Ovis aries: one gene and its partners. The protein of the gene in region 3 purifies or fractionates together with the protein of the main gene of each other region. This does not show direct contact. Links are inferred from orthologs where the notes say so. Each region holds a gene or a part of one and is shown on either strand. Other genes may lie near its edges.

Region 1 (3,652 bases), on a different chromosome or scaffold from region 3:
ACGAATAGGAATTTACTGAGTAAATCTCTTATTAGCCTAGACAATTTTTATTTTAAATGACAACTTCTAATTATTTAGGAAGTGTTCAGGATAATGCTAAGGGAGTAAAACCATCACATGTGATCTTGTTTCTCTAAGTATGCTAAGTATGAAAGCTCTTGCTCAAATGTGTTACATTCATATTCAGACTTTTCAGAGTATCTTGGACTGCAAGGAAATTAAACGAGTCAATCTTAAAAGAAATCAACCCTGAATATTCACTGGAAGAACTGATGCTAAATCTGAAGCTCCAATACTTTGGCCACCTGGTGCGATGAGCTGACTCATTGGAAAAGACCCTGATGCCAGGAAAGATTGCAGGTGGAAGGAGAAGGGGATGACAGAGGATGAGACGGTTGGATGGCATCCCCAACTCAATGGACTTGAGTTTGAGCAAGCTCTGGGAGATGGTGAAGGACTGGGAAGCCTGATGTGCTGCAGTCCATGGGGTCACAAAGAGTCAGACACAACTGAGCCACTGAACAACATATCCAGCCAATCTCAAAATACTTCATGAAATTAAAAGTCGGTGTGTCACTAAAATCAAATCCCACTAGGAAATGCCTACAATACATTTGAGAAACTTTTTTAAAATATTGATTTTTACAGGTAAAGTCAAACCATAATACCTAGATGGATATAAAGCCTTCTTGTCTTTGAAGAGTTCACTGGCTTCTAGCTTCTCTTCATAGATAAGTTTCTGTTGGTCTGTGAATTGGTCCCTGTATTTTTTACACTGTGAGATATGAAAAGAAGAAGAAAAAAAGACATCACTTATATAAGTAAATCATTACTCATCCTTAAATATGCTAAACCAATTTAACAGCAGTTAAAAATAAGAGTAAACGTGTATGAGATATTCATTAAAAGGTCAAGAGAATTTTTCCTTCTTGAGTTTTAAAAGGCTGGTCTTGGAAAATATCATAAAAACTATTTGTGTTGCAGAACTTGTGATGCTTCTTCAAAACATACAAGAACTTCTCTGGCCTGAGCCCTCCTGAGAGTACCGTTTCCTCCCACTACGTCAGCCCTTGGACATCCACACTTTTTCGGAGACTCACAGGAAGAAAAACATGGTCCATCACAGCCCAGCATGCATATTTATACACACACATATATACAATTGATACAAAAGCTTCAAAAAACAGTGCTTATCCTGTCTACATGTCATATATCCTGTTATTTTCATTTCAAAATGCTGGTAGTAATACTACTAAATTGATTTCATGACTCACAAATATGTTACGATCTATAGTTTGAAAAGCAATGCTCCAAACCCTCCATTACCATTTCATGACATGGACATTGCTGTTTCTTGTTGTCTGTCGCTCAGTCATGTCAGACTCTTTTGTGACCCCATGGACTATAACCTGGCACACTTTTCTGTCCATGGAATTTCCCAGGCAAGGATACTGGAGTGGGCTGCCATTTTCTTCTCCAGGGGATCTTCCCAACGCAGGGATTGAACCTGAGTCTCCTGCATTGACAGGTAGATTCTTTACCACTGAGCCACCAGGGAAGCTGGAATGTGGAAATAGGACCTGAGAAATCTCCCCTTCACACTGACTCTGAGATTGTACTGAAAGGAGACAGGGGATGGCATGAGGAGCAGGACCAGTTTCTTTAGATGAACTTTCTAGGAAATCCAGTTCACGGATGGGTGAGAATCACCCACATGATCAGATCATCAGCATTACTGCCCACCCTTGGAATAAATGCATCCTTCTCTTCTCTCCACGCCCCAAACCAAGGGAGGTAAGGGCAAAATTCAGGAGCCAGGGGGAAGGGGAGGCGGAGCAGATGCCTAGTATTCACAACCTCCCATCATTATTTCTGAAATAGTTTCTGTATCAGACTCAAAGGGGGAAGTGAACGTTGAGATAATGGCAAATCTTGCCAAACTGACTCACTAAGTAGGAGAACAGGACTTAGTATTCCATTCCACAGGCTGTGCTGGGAACAATCATTACAGTGATTAGTGATAATGTCTCTCTGTATATACATATGATTCAGCTAAGAACAAGTCCCAGCACTGAGCAGGAAAGTTTCCTGGAAGATGTATCCATCATTTGCTCACTCACTAAATACAAGCGCTTCAACCTAAGACTTCATTCTATCCAAATGACAAATAATTGTACCATTCCATGTACCAACTAAGTTACTGAAATAAAGTCAACCTCTATACAAGTACCCCACGTAGTCCACGCTGAGCACGACCTAAATTACATGTTACGTGCTCATGTAAAATTAAGTGAGCTAAAATATAAGGCCAAATCAAATAGATTTTCAGCTTCCCTTTCATTCAGAGAGAGGGAAATTATATGTCCTTTGGGTGACTTTAGAGCTTTTCTCCCCAGTCCATCAGAATGTGTATGTTCTCATATATGTCTATGTAGATCTATGTAGAAAGTAAACTCATATAATTTGTGAGACTCTACTATTCACATGGAGATGTTCAAACTTTATTATTTCTACCTCCAGTAGTATTTCTTCAGATAAACATGAAGACAAGAAATCGAACTACTTGAAAGCAACTAGAATCTGGACAGAAAAGACAATGCAGTCCTGGAGACATCACAGGAGCAACGAGGGTGCTGCGAATTCTCACAGATAGCCAAGCATGCTTCTAACTTCAAAATCCTGCTTTTATGTTACCCTTTGCAAACACTCAAAATAGATGGCAAGACGTCTTCGAAAAAACATAAAAAGATGATTTTTACCCTCCACAAGTGGAAAATCCTTTTTAGCTCCTTGTGAGTAGAATCCAAGAACATGTAGGGTCTCGATGGCCAATTCTTATCTATCGGAGATAAGGAAGGCACCTTATTTTTCATTTCCAAGAAGTATTTTTGCACCTGTGTTGGGTTTGACAGAAAATATCAGGTGAGTCAAACACACCAGAAAAAGAAAACACTGTCTAATACAAACCGGACTCAAAGAAACCAGTCTTTAGTGGAATTTAGCAAGTTCTGGTCCATAAAACTTTGTAACTCCTCCGAAAAGTCTCTACTCTACTATTCTCACTGGCTGGAGAAATCTGAGCTCCACCAAATGGTTAAGGAAAAAGAAAAATAACCAACGTGAATACTAATTTTATTATTATCACCAATACGAAGAGCTGCAATGTCTAACAGGCAGCCACACATGGCTCATGACTACTCTACTGAACCACAAAGATACAGGACGTTTTTGCCACTACATAAAGCTCTACTGGACAACACTGCTCTCGAGCACTTGCCATGGGTCAGGCACTGTGGGGGCTTTACAGTGTGACTTCATCGGAACCCTTACCCTAACTCTACGAGTTAAGTGCTATTACTATCCCCACTTTACAGATGACAAAATCAGGCTTTCAAATCTGTGAGTGGTGGAGCAAGCCGGCTTCAGAGTTCACACTCTTCAGCACTACACCTATTCTCAGAAAAACGGAGAACTTTTGAATCCATCCTGGGAGAGGAGCACAGCCTCGCTCTCCCACACCCCTCCACCCACTAGTCTGTTTGCCAGCCTTGCTCGGCAGTGGTCCATGGCAGTTTAGCAGGGCAAGATCTTGGCATTCCCCTCAAATTCCTATGGTGAAACCCTAACCCTCAATGCGACGGTATTAGGAGAT
Region 2 (3,752 bases), on a different chromosome or scaffold from region 3:
TTCAACTTTTGGATTAAGGCCAGTGGATTTATCTTCCTTCTTACTCCCCGATGATACATCTGCCCCTATATAATTTGCTATCTAAATTACTACCACCACTCTCCATTAGATTTAAAAACACAAGTCTGTATAAACTCAAGTACAATCATTTCTAACTCTCACTGCACCCAAATAACTCGATTAGCACTATCTATTGATATTTCCCTAACTCACCAAAAACAAAGTTGTCTGGTCTGAAGATCTGACCAAAAGGACCTGAGCGAACAGAGTCCATGGTTCCGGGTTCTAGATCCACCAAGATAGCACGAGGGACATATTTGCCACCTAGAAGAAATAAAGTAGAAGAGTGAAAACTGGAAGACATAGAGATAAATAAATTGGGGCCAAGAGAGCCGGGGACCCATATGTGTGATTTCAGACACTGCCACCAGGTGGCAGCAGAGACACTGGGAAAAGCGAGAAAGGTCTCCAGTGAGTGTAGATAGATTCATTCAAAGGGGGTAAAAGGTGTCCCGGGGAGGCAGAGACCCCAAAGAAGTGGGAGAGATGGGACCCCTGCTTCCCGGGCTCTTGCCCTCACCTGTGGCTTCATTGTAGTACACGGAGATGCGGTCCAGTTGTAGGTCGCTGTCCCCATGATAGGTGCCGGTGGGGTCGATGCCATGTTCATCACTGATTACCTCCCAGAACTGCCAGGGAAGAGCAAAGAGTCTTCAGCATCTCAGGGTGCAGCCAATTATGCTCCCCTACTGCCATTTTAGCTCCAGATTCGCCTGTGGCGGGCCCTCCCCAAAGATCTAGCATTTCTTCTGCCTGCCACACCCTTCCCCTAGCCACATGCACCTTCGGGGAAAAGGCAGCTTTCACTGCCTGGGACGTGAGATGCTGTGTGGCTTAAAGGGTCCGGGGATTGCGCGGGGTGGGTAGATGGAGGTAGTCACCCTGGGCACAAAGAGACGGGGCGGGGAGGGGTGCAAAGAAAAGGAGGCACTGCAGCAGCCCACCCCGCCCTGCACGTGACCGCGGCGCACGCACGCGCCAGGCGGCCGACAAAGGGAGGTGCCGCGCGAGGGCGGGGCCGAAGGGCGAATTCCGCGCGCCAGGGGCGGGGCTTGGCTCGGGCTCGCGCGCCCCCCGCCGGCCAGCCTGGCCGCATTGTCCCAGCGCGCCAGGGGCGCCCGGGTCCCGCCCTTCTGCTACAACGTAGCAGCCGCACTTCCTCCCTGCCCCTCCCCCGCTACACTGTAACCGCGCGCAAAAAAAAAAAAAACCCTCCCCCTTGGCCTCGAAATTTCATTTCTTTGCTAGCTTTTAACCCCCTTGCTTTAAATGAGGTTTTTCTTCCTTTGTCCTATTCTCTAGCTCTGAGGAACCCCTTCAAAGAATGGACTCCCTTTCCTTCCTCGCCCTTTCTCCCTATCTGTCCACGCCCTTAAGAGTCTGTTAAGGGGAAATAAAAGGAACAAATTAGTCTAGCACATATTAGCCTTCCATGCACGAAAAACTGCGGGACCGCCCCTTGGGGATCGCGAGCGCCCGGAGATTCCTGATCATTTGTAAAGGATATCGCCCAGCCCACCTGGCTCAGCGCGCCCCTACATTTGGATCTGACCTCTCGGCAGCTGCCCGCCATCCTCGCCCCTTCCCCCCTCTGGGTTAGCCCCACGAAGCCCCGCCAAGGGGGATGCACATGGGGAAAACCTCATCCAGCTTTTGTCTCGGGCCGTTTCCGCATCTCCCTCGCTCCCCGGTCCTCGGACCGTTAGGAGATCCCCTTTCTAAGTAAAATTTTACAGAAACTCGGTTTTCCCGCCCCCTAACCCTGAAGGGTGCTTTTAACAGCTTCCCCAAAATAAGCCTGCCAAGAAAAATAATTCCTCATTTTTCAAAAGCAAATCCTAAGGTTCAAAGGTGCATTTATATATAAAAGTTTTGAGGGGCAAATCTGGACTAAGAATGGAAGATGCAAACGTTCTACAACCATCCGTCATAATATACCTGTTTGGATTTGTTTTTTTTTTCCTTAAAAATAAATACAGTCAAAAGAGGTTAAAAATCCTTACCTTGGCACCGATCTGATTGCCACACTGACCGGCCTGGATGTGCACGATTTCCCTCATTGTTAAAATTTATTCTAATCTTTTTGCTCGCCTCAAAGTATGTACGGGGCAAAAAAATAATACGGAATTAGTTTTTCTCTGCTGCTGGTCGCAGGGTGAAAAGATGGAACGGGACCCGGAGGCTGAAGCAGCGAGGTCCGAACGCGGCGGCAGGAAGGTTCTGAGAGGGAGAAAGGAGAGGGGAGGGCGCGGGAGGAAAGGCGGGCAGGGCGGGGCGCGCGTGCGCGGGGGCCGGGAGGCGGGAGAACTCTCCGCGCGCCGCGGTGGAGAGACAAAGCCTCACTAGGCTGGCCCTGATTAGTCCGTGCCGGTCCTGTATCACAAGTCCATTGGTCCTTGCTGGACGAGCGCAGTCCTGCCTGGGAGTTGTAGTTCTCTATTGTTGTCCACGCTGCAAAATGAAAGGACGAATGGGTGGGTACTGGGTCTGGGGGTTTTGGTTTAGGTGTTTTGACTGAAAAACGGCCTGGCGCTAGGGTTCCTTCCTCTATGCCTGACTCTTCTGGTATCAAAAGAGAGTAGTTTTAGCAGGGTACAGGAATTGGGAACCCTGGTGTGCCAGGCTTTGGAAGGTGGAGTGAGGGCACGCCCTGAAAGCTCCCCGCTGCGGTAGCTCTTGGGAAGACAGGACTGCTTAGCTCAGCGAAAACGGGGAGAAATGCGGCACCCTGATCTGCTATCTAACAGCTGGTCCCTGGTGACCCAACTGGCATGAACTCCAGTGAGCTCCGGCTCCCCCAGATATCTCGGGAAGGAGGAGGGCATTGCCTTCCTGCTATTTCCTTGGGAGCTTTCTAACGATAATATTTAGAAAGAAACAAAATTGCATCAAGGACTTTTCAGTATAAAAAGTAATTGTTTGGAAGGTATGTTCAAGAATAGAGAAGCAGATATGCCGGAAGTCTCCGTCCATGTGGGGAATCTGCGCCTTAGAGCAGCGTTTAACACAGTTTTGTCAAGAGGCGAACTGTGGGGTGAGATACCTGATAGGCACTTTGATGAAGTCAGTGTTTTTTCAACTCGCTGATTTCACTGAGAGGTGGTTGACCATTGCAATCTTTCAAGAACCTCGGGATTAAAATAAAAGTAGGGAGGGTGATGGGAAAAAAATGGATGAGCTCAAATCTGAGTGGCATGTTTCTTCTCAGGGATTAATTCAACTTGAGCGATATTAAATGTCCACCAAAGGAGCTAGGATGAAGGATTAGCTCACTGGTGGCTCAGGCGGTAAAGCGTCTGCCTACAATGTGGGAGACCCGGGTTCGATCCTTGGGTTGGGAAGATCCTCTGGAGAAGGAAATGGCAACCCACTCCAGTACTCTTGCCTGGAAAATCCCATGGACGGAGGAGCCTGGTAGGCTACAATCTATGGGGTCGCAAAGAGGACACGACTGAGCGACTTCACCTTCACCTTACCTCACTGTCCTCCAGGATCTTGCAATTTGGTGAGAAGTGTATAACCACTAGTGTGGTAAGCACCATGATTAAAGGACATGGGATATCAGGCTCCGTATGTGCTCAGTCATGTACGACTCTTTGCGACCCCATGGACTGCAGCCCGCCTGGCTCCTCTGTCCATGGGATTTCCCAGGCAAGAATACTGGAGCTGGTTGCCATTTCCTTCTCCGCGGA
Region 3 (3,652 bases):
GGGTAGTGCCACCTAACTTTATTTTTGAAGAAGAGAATTCTTGTCTATTCTCTGGAAGACTGAAAAGTTCTCCAATCTTTATTTAGGTCGTGAGGAATTCTACAGCACTCATCCCCACTTTATGACCCAACGAGCCTTGTATCTTGCGGTCTATGACCTCAGCAAAGGACAAGCAGAAGTTGATGCCATGAAGCCTTGGCTTTTCAATATAAAGGTGATATGATCTAATAATTTGAGAATAGAAAATATTTCATGAGTTTTCTTATTCTATATAAGGTGATTTATTTGGGGCAAATAGTACCATCAAGCAGACTTTTCAAATACTTTTTTGCAAGAAAGTTAGAAGCACTTAAACTTTGAGTTAGGAAATTTTTAGGAGTAATTAAGTTGTGACATGAAAATAGTATGTTCTATGTTAATGAAAGGTATAGAAACTTGAAGCTTTTTTAATCTATTAAAAATGAGAATATATGTTAGGCTATTTTTATATTCTTTTTTATTTTATTTTATTTATTTATTGGCTGCACTGTGTGGCTTGCAAGATCTAAGTTCTCTGACCAGGGATTGTACTTGGACCATGGCAGTGAAAGCCCCAAAATCCTAACCACGAGGGTATCAGGGAGCTCCCTGGTATTATTACTTATGTATAATATGAATTTCCTTAATTTAAAATAAACTGTAGTAAGAAAAAGAAGCAATCTATGCATTACCAACTGTGTCCTCAGAGGCAATTTAGTATAAAGCCCTGTGGGACTTACAGTTTTAAATGGTCCCAGATGAATATTATATATTTGAAATTTTGCAACTTTTCCATTTTGTCTCTTGCTGTTAGATATTCCTTCATGTATATATGGTTTTAAAAATCTGTGCCTTTTTATAATTGATACTAAAGTAAAAATGAATGGTCATTGAATAATGCTCTAGTAGGCTCTTCTGTGAGGCAAATCTGAGCCACCAGGGAAGCCTACTATTAAGAGACATTTCTAAGTATAAAGACAGGCCAACTTAAAAAGTATCAGTGGATACACGCTTGACTTTATCTTATAATCTATAGACAATACATTAGAATATGTAATGAATCCATACACCTTTTCCAAAGGAATACCTAAGACAGAAGTAGCAATAAAGTTATAAATGACAGTCATCAATCAGATGAAATAATTTAGATGAAGTTTTTCTCTCTCAAAGAGATGGGGACTGGGCAAGTGGTCAGGATGGAAATACAATGTGCTTTTAACTTTGCATGAAAGATAATGTTCAGTTCCACTCGCTGAACATAGTTCTGTTTTTGCCAAATAAATCCTCTACTTCAAATTACTGTCCAAATGCTTTATTACTTTAGTGACTTGTTTTTTCTTTGTAGAAGCCACACTGAATTACTATAATATGAATTAATGAGCTTTAATTCACAGATAAGGAAGAGAAAATATAAAACAAATTGTATTACTCTGATATTATTTGGGTGTTATTAAATATTATTTTATCTAGAAGCCCAAAGCACACTTAAAGAATAACCCATTTTAGGCAGAGAGGAAAGAAATGTGTTATTACTGTCACATGGACCACCTGAAAAGTGACAATAACTAGATTAAGAAGGAGCATAAAAATGACTTTTAAAAATTTCTTAAGTTTAATTTGTTCCCTTAGGTTTAAGGAAGGGAAGACAGTTGTCATTTTCTTCTTGAAGTCTTTTGAATTCTCATTTCGATTCTAGTGAATTTCATAGAAAGTGAATATCAGTGGAAATATAAGCAGTCTTGATTTTTAAAACAAACACAAGAGTGTTTTGTGTCTTCCCCCATAGGCCCGTGCTTCTTCTTCTCCTGTGATTCTTGTTGGTACACATTTAGATGTTACTGATGAGAAGCAGCGCAAAGCCTGTATCAGTAAAATTACCAAGGAACTCTTGAACAAACGAGGATTTCCTGCAATACGAGATTACCACTTTGTGAATGCCACTGAGGAATCTGATGCTTTGGCAAAACTTCGGAAAACCATCATCAATGAGAGCCTTAATTTCAAGGTAACATGGTTCATTGCCTACCCTAGGTGGTAGATAAATATAATTTATTAACTGTTACATTCTGCAACTGCTAAGAAATGTCAGCAGTCTTGAGAAAAGAATAACTATCTTAAAAGTATGGGGTTTTCTTAGCTGTTAGCATTATTCAAGTACTTTTAATTTTAAAATTATTTATGTTAGACTTAATTTTGAACTCACAGAATTGGGAATTAGAAATAATTGAGGATCCTGAGAGAAACTAAAAGGATATCTGAGAGGCTGAGAGAATGTTCCTGAGAGAATCTGGGGACATGTTTTTGATGCCCTTTCTCTCCCAACATCCTATAGTAGTGATTCAGTCAAAAGGATAACGATGGATGTTGGGGTCTTGGAGTGATCTTTCTTGTATTTTTCTTTGACTGTTTTTTCTCCATCTGCTCCTTTTGGAGTTTCTGTTTTATGCTCGTCTTGGTCTTTGTTGTTCCTTCATGTCTTTGTCACTGTGATTCCCCCTTTCAAATATTTTTTTTCCTTCAATATTGAGAGAAGGCTCTTCCATCTGGTCACCACGGTCACTAATTTGGTTTTCAACAATGTGTAAGCAATATTCTAGTTCATACAAACTTTATGTCAAGAGTTATGTTTTTGATTTACAAAGTTTTTCTTTCTGGTAAGACAAATAGAGTTCATAGAGTTCATAAAACACAAATAAATTGGTTAACAAATGCTTGTTTTTAATACAAAAGAGAAAGAAATTTTACCTGGGCTCTACAGATAGCAAGGGGTAAACTGTACTGAAAAACACTTTGAATAGTTCCATATGACAAACACAATAGTGGATTTCACCGTTAGTCTCTATTGGTTTAGCTCATTAGTACTAACGATCAAAGCTGTGGCTTCTAACAAGGGTCTTGTTTTGCCTGGACAGTCCCAGTGTAATTATTAATTGTGTCTCACTACATTCTCAGAAGCATTCCAGTTTGGATGATAAATTACACGGTCACCTTGGTTATAACACATTATCCAGTTAGCTTAGTTCTGTTCCATTTCCACAGATTATGCTCTGTCTAAAACTTAATGAGCCATTTATAAGTGTGCCAGTCTTTGTGGTGCTCAGAGAGAGAATTTGCACATTTATATCTTTCCACACATTTATCACAATCAATAAAAGCTTTTACAAATGTGGGTCAATGGAAATTTTATGTTAGAAGAATAAAGTATCATTTATCTCTAGTTTTTGCTACTCTTTTGTGAGACATATGATTAAAGAGTGATATGACTTTTAAGAAACAAATGCACCAAATTAATATATTCAATTAAATATCCTCTTTACCCAGGGAATTTCCTTTTGAGACTATATCTATACTTACAGAACTTTGCTGTTACTTATAATATTTTAATAGCTTCTCTCTTATCATTGATATCAGACCATTTATCATATTTTAAAAAAGAATTCTTAAAGTATGAGTTTGTTTTGAGAAAATCTGGATTTAGTTGAGGAAGTCTATGAAAAGAGTAGTTGATTCATCAAGCTGGACTGGTACTACTTTAGGCTAACAGCAAGTTAGACCAGTTTACTGGTGATAAGACCAGTCTGTTTTCTGCGCTTGTACGTGAACTCTGAAGGCAATACCGGATGAGGAGGTTAAA

Evidence for each region.
Region 1: the proteins of LRRK2 (region 3) and MYO1B purify together in Homo sapiens (affinity purification with mass spectrometry; 3 studies listed by BioGRID and IntAct, with this or other methods). This does not show direct contact. The link is inferred for Ovis aries from reciprocal best matches to the Homo sapiens genes LRRK2 and MYO1B.
Region 2: the proteins of LRRK2 (region 3) and TUBB purify together in Homo sapiens (co-immunoprecipitation; 5 studies listed by BioGRID and IntAct, with this or other methods). This does not show direct contact. The link is inferred for Ovis aries from reciprocal best matches to the Homo sapiens genes LRRK2 and TUBB.

The regions. Positions count from the first base shown.
Region 1 is NC_056055.1:193,674,118-193,677,769, reverse strand, and holds part of MYO1B (unconventional myosin-Ib), read right to left. Parts: intron 2,895-3,652; coding exon 2,760-2,894; intron 776-2,759; coding exon 669-775; intron 1-668. UniProt on the Homo sapiens protein: Motor protein that may participate in process critical to neuronal development and function such as cell migration, neurite outgrowth and vesicular transport.
Region 2 is NC_056073.1:27,416,356-27,420,107, forward strand, and holds the start of TUBB (tubulin beta chain), read right to left. Parts: upstream 2,288-3,752; 5' UTR 2,121-2,287; coding exon 2,064-2,120; intron 690-2,063; coding exon 581-689; intron 325-580; coding exon 214-324; intron 1-213. UniProt on the Homo sapiens protein: Tubulin is the major constituent of microtubules, a cylinder consisting of laterally associated linear protofilaments composed of alpha- and beta-tubulin heterodimers.
Region 3 is NC_056056.1:146,910,955-146,914,606, reverse strand, and holds part of LRRK2 (leucine-rich repeat serine/threonine-protein kinase 2), read left to right. Parts: intron 1-86; coding exon 87-214; intron 215-1,804; coding exon 1,805-2,023; intron 2,024-3,652. UniProt on the Homo sapiens protein: Serine/threonine-protein kinase which phosphorylates a broad range of proteins involved in multiple processes such as neuronal plasticity, innate immunity, autophagy, and vesicle trafficking.